2 linked regions of the Neodiprion lecontei genome follow. Each later gene encodes a partner of the first gene's protein in a complex. Links are inferred from orthologs where the notes say so. Each region holds a gene or a part of one and is shown on either strand. Other genes may lie near its edges. The genes, in order: protein lin-54 homolog and transcriptional activator Myb.

What was found.
Region 2: protein lin-54 homolog (region 1) and transcriptional activator Myb share a complex: the UniProt entries of both Drosophila melanogaster proteins name them as parts of the DREAM complex. The link is inferred for Neodiprion lecontei from reciprocal best matches to the Drosophila melanogaster genes mip120 and Myb.

The regions. Positions count from the first base shown.
Region 1 is NC_060261.1:11,991,068-11,996,261, reverse strand, and holds the start of protein lin-54 homolog, read left to right. Parts: upstream 1-1,974; 5' UTR 1,975-2,050; intron 2,051-2,944; 5' UTR 2,945-2,972; coding exon 2,973-3,365; intron 3,366-3,510; coding exon 3,511-3,831; intron 3,832-4,008; coding exon 4,009-4,248; intron 4,249-4,931; coding exon 4,932-5,153; intron 5,154-5,194. Other genes in the region: COP9 signalosome complex subunit 4, read right to left, coding at 10-128, 265-344, 409-491. UniProt on the Drosophila melanogaster protein: Component of the DREAM complex, a multiprotein complex that can both act as a transcription activator or repressor depending on the context. In follicle cells, the complex plays a central role in the site-specific DNA replication at the chorion loci.
Region 2 is NC_060264.1:1,904,325-1,909,144, reverse strand, and holds the start of transcriptional activator Myb, read right to left. Parts: upstream 3,223-4,820; 5' UTR 2,807-3,222; coding exon of another isoform or gene 2,787-2,806; intron 1-2,786. Other genes in the region: checkpoint protein HUS1, read left to right, coding at 3,501-3,552, 3,650-4,056, 4,153-4,536. UniProt on the Drosophila melanogaster protein: DNA-binding protein that specifically recognizes the sequence 5'-YAAC[GT]G-3'. Component of the DREAM complex, a multiprotein complex that can both act as a transcription activator or repressor depending on the context.

The sequences.
Region 1 (5,194 bases):
GGAGCAAACCTTATCAAGGGTGTAATGAGCAACAGCCTTTGAAACTTCATCAGGTAAGACCAGCAACCGGCTACTAACCTCTGTCAAAACTTGTCTTGATATAACCAAACTTACGTTCTCATTGACGACTGAAAATATAAATAATTCACCATTAGTTTCTTTGCAACATAATAAATGTTTTGAGTATGTAATGATTCCGTGCGAATAGATTTACAAAAAGGAATCAGCTGTAAATAATAGATACATTGATTAATGTGCACATACTTGCTTCGATAAAGAGTTTCAGCATGTCAACCAACTCCTCGCCCGCAGATTTTACCAGAAAATCCAATAGCGTTCGGTATCTGAAAAACCATGCGGAATTAATATTCAGACGACATGAGACAGCATGTGAGCAGAGAAACGTACCTTTCTGCCTGGTCCTTGTGAGAACCTCCGGCATGAGATAAAGTACTCAGCTGTTGCCTCACCGAGGCCATCATCACGACCATATTTTCTCCCAAAGTTTCGGTAATTCGGCTTTGCACCGGTTTCAATCTCTTTCGATCGGGTTCTTCAATTTTTGCAACGACCACGAACGTTTTGAAGATGCGACGAAGACGGTAGACGTCGTTTGCAATTCGACCAAATTGAAGAATGCTGTGAAACACGTAGAATGAGAAACAAGTTCATTCCTGCGTTCCGAAATTAGATCCAGTATCGACAGTTATTCTACATCTCTGTTCCTCTATCGAAATCATGGTAAGCGCTGCCTCTATTTTACGGAATTTTCAGCGAATGTGGTGTACATCCGGTACATTCTTTTGAAAAATAAAGTAACTGCGGGCAAAGCTGGGGGTCAACTTCGATGTACTTTCAATAATTTGAACAGTGCTTGCGTGCAATATGACATTTTGTATGTGTTATTCATAATTATATAATGGTAAATAAATTTTTATTATAAGAAAAAATGAAATCATGGTAATAATACTAATAATCAATAGCTCTGTTCGTTTTAGTTACACTTTTCTACACTTTTTACACTTATCCTGAATTTAGCCAATGGAAGGTGCCCTTTTCTAGGGAAAGTGTAAAAAGTGTAGAAAGTGTAATTAAAACGAACAGAGCTACTACCAGTCCCGCAACATGCTTTCCATGATGTCACTATAAACGACTACCTTTGCGGGGTGTGGGACGGAGGTCAGTAGCGGCTGAATAACGTGACCCTTCTTACAATTTTTGCGAGTTGCTCCCACGTTGCTCCCCCTGCTTCCCATCGTAGAGCTGAGGACTTCAACTCAAGTCCTCCCCGTGGTCCTCCCGTGTATAACTCTACTACGCCCGGTGATACGGAAATACAAATTACATTTTTATTTTTAAATCACGTAGTATATATTACAACTTACATTTGTAATCTTCTGTATATCTGTAAACGTTGTCCACGTATTTCAAATGCGACAAAAGATTTAACAGGTCCATTCTATACACAATTCTAAACAAAAACACTGCAACGAATTTTCATTTGACGCAGAAATAAATAAATGTCATAAATTCTACGAATTTACAATTTCGATTTCGTAGAAACCATGCCTCCAGTAGTATATAAGTGTTTGAGATTTAGATATTTGGAAATATATACTATAAATATAAGAGCAGCCCCTTAAACCTGTAATTTCTTGTACATACATCTATATTTTGGGAAATATATAATAATATAATATCAACTATACTACAATTGTGCCTATAGGTTTCTCTCTGTGCCTATCACGTTTGTTATTATAATTTTGTACACCATGCACTGGTTTAAAAACTAAAATTCCCTAGGAGTGAGACCGAGCGATCCATCGATCAAATAGTGCAACAGAGATAGGAGATTACTGTGCGTAGTGTCAGAAATGTATCCCGAGAAGCGATGCAGCAAGTGAACGGTTAGAATTTCTTCCACGTATAGCGCGACCATTAATGACTTTGGGTCTGTTCGTATATAGAATAGAAGCGCGTGGTGCATCTTGGGATAGTAATGGTGGGCGCGTGATTTTGAACAAATTCGGGATGCCAGAAAAGTACGCAGGTGAGTTCAGAACATTCGGCAGTACTAATTTAGAGCACGTTCAAATCGCATTTATTTTAAACTGTGCTTCAGTTCTGAAGTAATTAGAGTCATTGCTCAGTCAGAATGTGAACCATCGTATGCGCGCAGCACGAACTTTCTGCAAACAACTGAGTTCTAGGTTAACTTCAATTTTTCGCAATTTTGAGCCTCTTTCGTGTGAATATTTCGATCTCAGATGCGTTGAATAATTCTCTCGTATTATACTCACAGAATAAGTAGAATCTTCAACTATTCACCTAATTTTAATAGTCTTGAATCCACATCGAATACTGTTTGTGTTAAAATGGCGCGTTGATGTAACAAATGGCGCTAATGCGACCGTCTGTCGTCCAAGCTTCGAAACGTTTTGCATTGATATTCAAATTTGTTCGTTCCATTTTTCAAACTTCGAATCCCTGCCCATTATTGCTTCCCCGATTAGCGATCGATTCCACGCCTTCGCTTGTTTATCGCTCCCAAAACGCCTGAATCATTAACAACTATTTGAATTTTTGAATTTTTAAAATCACGCTTATCCTCAGTATTGAACTATAGTACAAACAACGTCAACAAACTATACTGCTACATAGTGACTACAATCATTTCGCTTTTCTCCTATCCCAATGAAATTTTTAGCTACCCAATTTGAGATAAAATTCCTTGGAAAAAGTTCCAACTATGACACTTTGCTGCTTATTTATCTTCAGCAAGCATATAAAGCACAGCTATTTTTGAAGCATGAATTGTGCAAGTAATGAGTCTACTTCTAATCGCCAGGTGATCATGTTTGTAAATCGATAATACCTTTCGGTGTGTAAACTCACCGCTTTACAAAACTGGCTTATAAATGTATCTCCAATTTGGCAATTTCAGCTAAGGAATAATAAATTTTGAGCAGAGTATGGCTGCAAGTAATAAAAGCCCAGGGGCAAGAGCCCTTGTTGAACCTCTGGCATTGGATTCACGAACGTTGAGCGATGGAGATTTCAGCGCTCTAAGTTTGTCGCACAGCTCAGAGCAGTACTCGAACAACGACTTTGAGGCATTGGCAAGCATTCAGGCTGAATTTGAATGCATGAACGCTGAAGAGGTAATGACAACTGACGACGAAACTATGCTTCTCGATCGAAGCATTGAGTCTACAACTACAGCGTCTGACATTGAGATGACCGATCTATCGGACAACGCTCAGCCTGAACAGATAACTTACTCATCAGCAGCTAATCAGAATAGTCAAAATATTGTATTCCAAACTAAACCAACCCTGCAAAGAGTGCCTGTGTCGGCAATACAGGTAAATTTCCATTTTATTATTTCTGTGACTTTACAGATTATTGAAATGTTTTTCTCTCTCTTCCTAGTCTTTGGTTTAGACCGTGAAGCCCATCATCCTTAAACTTGAACATTGCTATTTACACTTGGGTAAAACTTTTTTTCAGGTGAAGCCAACTGTGCCACAAGTGTCTCAAAGCCAGTCAATAATGATTGTGTCACCAGCAGGTGGCCAAGGCACAAGCCAAATACTGAAAATATCTCACCCATCGACAGCATCGCCTGGTCAGTTACAATCGCTGGCTCAGACTCTGATAACGGCCAAGTCTGCAGACGGCAACATAGTACAGCTGAGATCGGCACAAGGTTCAAGACCCATCGTGACAACTAGCCAATCTGGGACCATCACTCTGAGCAATGTACAGAACGTCAAACCTGTTCAGTCGGCGATAAAAAGACCAGCTCAGTCTGTACAACAAAACAGAAACGTGAGTCTTACTTCATGGATCGTGTGCTATCGAATACTGGTATTTATCACCTGAATGAGAAATTGAAATAGAAATATTTTACGCTTTGTTGGTGTAACAATTGTTTTTTATTGAATTCTTATCGATCTGCCTTCCATTTACTGCAAATTTCTAATGTAATTTGAACGGAATAAACAGGTATACACAAAAATGATTCTGACCGGTAATCAGAGCCAGACAGGTCAACAGGTTTTGCTTGCCAACACCCAACATGACAATCAGCAGCCGCAGACTATCAAGTTTATCACGAGTAGCGGAGCCAGTCCGAGCATCGCAAGCCCAACGAAAACTATAACTTTTGCACAAGCTCAGCAAATGGGACTTCTCTCCTCCGGGAAGATACAGCAGATACTGCCATCGTCGCCGCACAAACAGCAGGTATTGTTACTTAAAAGAAATATTTGTAAGACTATTGTAGCTCATACGCGTTCGATTTATTCTACGAATATTCAATAACTTCAACAGATGTTGTAAATGGGGTCTGGGAATTACTCATATTTCTTGAAAACTTCATTCTCTGTTGAAAATTGAGAAATTCTAAGCTTTCTGTTTTCTGACTATTTCTTAAAAAGTTGACTAGGAAGTAAAGATCGAACCAATTTCTAAAGAATACCTATATGATTCTGGAACCGAATTTAGTAACCAGCACCTCGCATAGTTCAAGATTTGGTGTTTCTATGTATTACTTACTGGCATTGCATAGAAGAAAATTATGATGAACATCTGAGAGAGATTTGAAATTTTCAGTTGAACAGTTGAATCACATGTCTGAAAAAAAATATTTTCGGTAAAACTAGGATTACAGAAAGTTATCAGAATTTTCAAAGGAATGGCATGGGTTTTCCACAGATGTACTGAAATTAATTTTCTGTTTCGGAAGTAAGATATTTCTGTAAAACTTCTAGAAATGTTTAGAAATTGTAAGAGATTTTTCAGAAAAACTGGGAAACTCGGAAATTTACATTCTAAGGGAATACGTGCACATTTTTAAACCTTTCTGCACATAATTTTTGCCGGAGGTAACTTGACTTAGTGTATTAAGTGTTTAAATGTTTGTACAGGGTATAATTGTGAATAAATTGGTCACATCAACTTCAACTCAACCTTCCAAAATGACAATTCTCCCAGCTACGACTGTGAAGCCCCCTGCCAAGATATTACCAGCCCCTACTTCAATGACTAGCCACGCCAAGTCATCAATAGTCTCCAACTCCCAAACCACAACGTTCTCCAGCACTGGAAAAAATATGCCACAGAATTCACAAAAAGTCATCATAAGACAGGTATTTTTAGTTTTACAGGAACCTGTAAAAGTATTTTATTT
Region 2 (4,820 bases), on another chromosome or scaffold:
GCCGTACCCGTCCCTTAATAATTTCAAAATTCCTGATACAACATTACTTCAGCCAATCGTAATACGTAATTCCGACTATAATTTTTATTTTTATTTATTTTTCTTCATTTTTTTTTTGCAGACAGGAACCTGAAGCAACAGCGATTCGATTCGAAACCTCGTCGAGTTCGCCTCTCGACATTGTTTATAATTCGTACAAACGAAGACACGAGCCGTGCATGAGAAAAACGTTCAACTACCACGGACTCGACTTCCAATTTTTTTATATTATCTACATCTGACTCTCCGCTCTTCGTATGGGGCGCAAGGAGAGTAAAGGATGGGGAATGGGAATGGGAATGGAGGGAAAAGAGGAGACGGGGGGGAGGAGGGAAGGGGGGGCCGGCGACCAGACGACGACGTAACATTTGAACCCTCCTCGGTTTCGTTCGAGGTTTCATTCGTTCCTCGTTCCCGACGATCGTCCTTCCCTACTCACTTACCACCGACTGACTGACTGTCTGACTGACTGACTGACTGATTGTCCTCAACGTTAGTTGCTATGCGGGACGACGCGATTGCGTCACACCGAAACCCCCTCTCTCCCTAATCGCTCTCTCTCTCTCCCTCTCTTTCTTCTCGCTCGCTATTATCAACGACGGAGAATTTATTTTTATTCTTGATAAATAGAATCACGCGAAAGATGTATCATCGTGAGAGGGAAGCAGCTTGCTGCCGTCTTAAAGCCACTTTTCTAATGATCTAGTCGTCATTGTGGATAAAAGACGTGTGAGAGCTTTCTTGTGTTATGAAATGAATAAGGTTGCTGGGTCAAGTAACATTATTGTAAAAACAGTCTTGTTACCGAGTTTAAACTGTAAGCACGCGTTTTGCTATTAAAGCATCTGTTTCAAAACACTCTCAATTTCGCTACCTGATAATTCTTTTAATAAACTCGCGAACCCAATTATCTGAACCTATGCATACCCTAGATAAAGTAAAATACAGTTGAAATAAAAGAAAAGAAAAAAGACGTTGCTCGATTTAACGATTGATGAAACTTGGAAATTAATTCATTCTATTCTGTTTATATTTTGAGTGCAATGATAATAATCCCGATGACAATGTAATGTTCTTCGTATTGTTACATATCGTATTCTTCCCAAAGGTTTCAATTCGTTGATTTGACTCCGTCGTTGGTGCAGTTTTTATTTTTTCATTCGATTCTTTTCAATGGAAAGCTGACACCGAACGAACCCTTTACTCGCTTCCTGCAAGATATACTCGATTTCCTGTGTATGTATATATATATTTATATGCATGTACCTCCCACGGCTGCTGCTGGCCCATTTCATCTCGCGTTTACGCGTGTGGTGATGTTGCCATGCTGCGCCGAGAGCAAATAATCACATGTATGGTGGACGTGTGCACACGCATATGGAAAAACAAGCGCTCTTTGTTTAAACATCGGTATAGGTACGCATATGCGATACGTTTAATAATGTATACGTATGTAGGTACACATATCCCACAGAGTTGAAACGTTCTTATTACGAATACAGAGTCGTTCTTTCATTGCGATTCGAACGTCCTGAGAACAAGGATAATTAGGATAACCTGGTCTGCTCTGTCGGAGATGGAAAAATACCATAATCCCTTCCTTCTACCGACTTTCCCAAAAGTTTTCACCTTTTTCAAAAATCTACTGAAAACCCTGAGAAATTTCATACGCTATTACACGAATATCTAGATCCTTTTTCTTTCGATCGACACACCTCGGAATGCGCGGGAAAATTTAAACGCGCTCTCGTGATTCGTAGCTTTTTACAGTTGCGCCTGACGACGAAGGCATCGAGATATAGAGTCGCTGTGCGTGGGGTATTATGGCATTGATAAAACAAGGGGGGGAAAGATAAACGGCGATAAAACAAGTAACGTGAAAAAATGAAACAGGAAGGCCCGGTGCGACTGCCGCGGGCCACGTGTTCCGGCAGACACCTGTCGTCGTTCTTTCTAGGTGAGCGATAAACGGCGAAGTATGCAGTCGAAAAAAACAAAAGACGGAAGAGAAGGAGGAGGAACGAAGGAACATTGAACCACATGTCTTACAAAGACGGAGGGGTGAATTTTTCACCGAGTTTTGGGAAGCAGGGGGTATTGATCGAACGAAGACGTTGTTTCGGATAAAATAAAACGAAAACATGAAAGAAGGCTGAGAATTTTTTTTTAAAAAACATGCTAAATCACACGCGACATTCGAATGTTGTATTACGAACATTGTAACCGTTGTTTCAAATGTGCCTAAAACAACGATCGGATCGTTACTAAAATGCATAATGTTGCAAGGTACATTGTAAGCGCAGCAGCTTAGATTTTGTTTACGCAAATATATATGTATATGTGCAAAGCTGCGGTGTAAGGATCCGTAGGGGAGTTGAATAAGTAACAAATCGCAAAGGATTTAAATTATGGAATGACGAATTACGCGGTCTTTGAGCACAGCTGATTACGCTGGCAAGGCAGACAACGCGTGTTGTTTACATGCGAAAGTAAAGTGACTAGCGTCACGAGATGTAATAGAACTGTCAACAATTGAGAATCGCCGCAGAGAGATTTTCGCGTTCGAAATAGATGAAGAAAAAAAAAAAAAAATGAAGAAGAAGAAAAAATGTAAGACGAAGAAGCGTGTTAGCACCTTGCGAATGTTTAGTAAACACCGAGAGACGATCATTGAATTGGGTAGCGAATAAATTTATGTATGTATGTACGATAAGTTGGAATAATGTATTTCTAGTCTTCTGACTCACCTAGCTCGATAAAACTGCATTTCAATCCGAGCAGGACATGTTCTTCGATCTTTTGCAATTCTCTCGGTAAGGGATTACTTGAGAGAATATGAAGTGTAAGCGATCTCTCTCTCTCTCTCTCACTCTTTGGTTAGTTATTATAGCATTATCGATTAGCTTTGAGCGTGCAGAGATGATAACAATATCTGCAAAATGGCCGACGCATCTATTTCTCACCCTCTCTGCACGCTGTCCGGGTTAATTTGTCAAATTAGTCGAAATACAGTTTTAAGCGTTGCACACACTGACTGATCACTCTCACGGATTTCGCGAATCGAACACCCCGAGAATTGTTTAAAGCACACACCGCACGATCATAGATTTATTTTGTTTCCGGCGCGAGGCGGGTGTTCTGTTTGTTTACACAAAGGACGACCGGCGGCAGCCTCGGTCCCCGAAGAATTCGTTAGGCGATCACCACCGCTGCGCAGGGTAAGTTTTCGTTTGCAGAAAATTATGCTGGCAGCGCGGGAACCGACTGTTTCGGTGACACTGGTGACATCTAGAAACTTCTGAGCGAAGTACCGGTGTGGCGGAACGCCGGAACGGAACCAAACGAACGGCGCCAACGGACGTGCGATGTTGACTTGTTTGACAGGCCGCTGATTTGTCTGCGAGAGCCTCGCGGTAAACGTTCGGTTCACTGGGAATTCGTTCTGTTTATTACTCGTCGGGATGAAATTCAGATGCAGAATGATCGACTCCGCAGCGATGCGCGACTTCACTAGTAAGAGGAAAGATCGATGTTTCACTGGCCTAACCATAACCTGTTTATAATTTATGTGTACGAAAAATGTAACAACTTTGTATATTTCAATCGATAGATGTGGCAAACACGGTATCCCGCCTGGCAAAGGCTTGCGTGATACGTCTTACAAAAGACGAGGTGTGCTTTCACGTCGGTGACGACTATTCGCCGATAGCGTGGGCTGTTTTGTACCAAAACAAATTCTTCAGCGAATACACCATGGTAGGTGTGTGCGAGGAACAGGATGAGATATACCTCGAATTCTCACCTGCCATGCTCGCAAAGAGCCTAAGCTCCCTCAAAATGACCGCCAAGAGCGTCAAGATCAAACTTACCAACAGAGAACAGCCATGTCTCACTATCGATATTGAATTACCTTCGATAAGCAACGAGCTTAGACAGTGCGTTCATGATGTACCTGTTAAAGTAATTCCTCGAAAAGAATGGGGGGAATATCAGGCTCCAATTATACCGTCGTTCGATGTATGTTGAAGAGACCTAATACTGAATCATATCGTCTGGCAACTTAGCTCGCGATCAAGTTTACTCCTGCAAATGCATCTCTATTTTTTGTTACAGGTTTCCATAGAGATGCCAGACATGAAACACTTGCGAAATGTTGTCGATCAGATGGGAAAAATGAGTCCACAACTTGTCGTAACTGCTAAGAAAACAGGGAAATTAATACTGAAGGTGGAAACCAGTTTTGCTACCGTAGCGACGCACTTTCAAGACTTGAAGGTTGGAGGAGACGATCGAGACTCAGGAGTAACGGATGAAGAAGAGGAAGAAGTTTCGGCCACCATAGATATTAGGAAATTTGGAATGTTTCTAACATGGGATATAATAAAAGCCGAAAGCGTAATTTGCAACGTAGTGGCTGACAGAATGATTAACATGCATATGAACATTGATGGACATTTAGAAATACACTATTTCATACCAGCCATTTCAATTCTGTAGAAATCAATTAGAATAATAAATTATAACTTTTTTTATATTAAAAAATTACGTATTTGTGCAACACCGGAAATTAATCGATTCAGATTCCTGATCGCCATATAATTCAAACAATTATCTCATTATGTATATGTAGACCAAGACAGTCCTCCAACGATGGACTTGCAGTAATAATGAATATCAATCTTTCTGAGATTGGTTGGAGTGCATTTTTTACTCTTTGAAAACAAAACAAAATTCATACAATATTTGGAAGTACAGCAGATATTCGGTCATGTCAATATTCC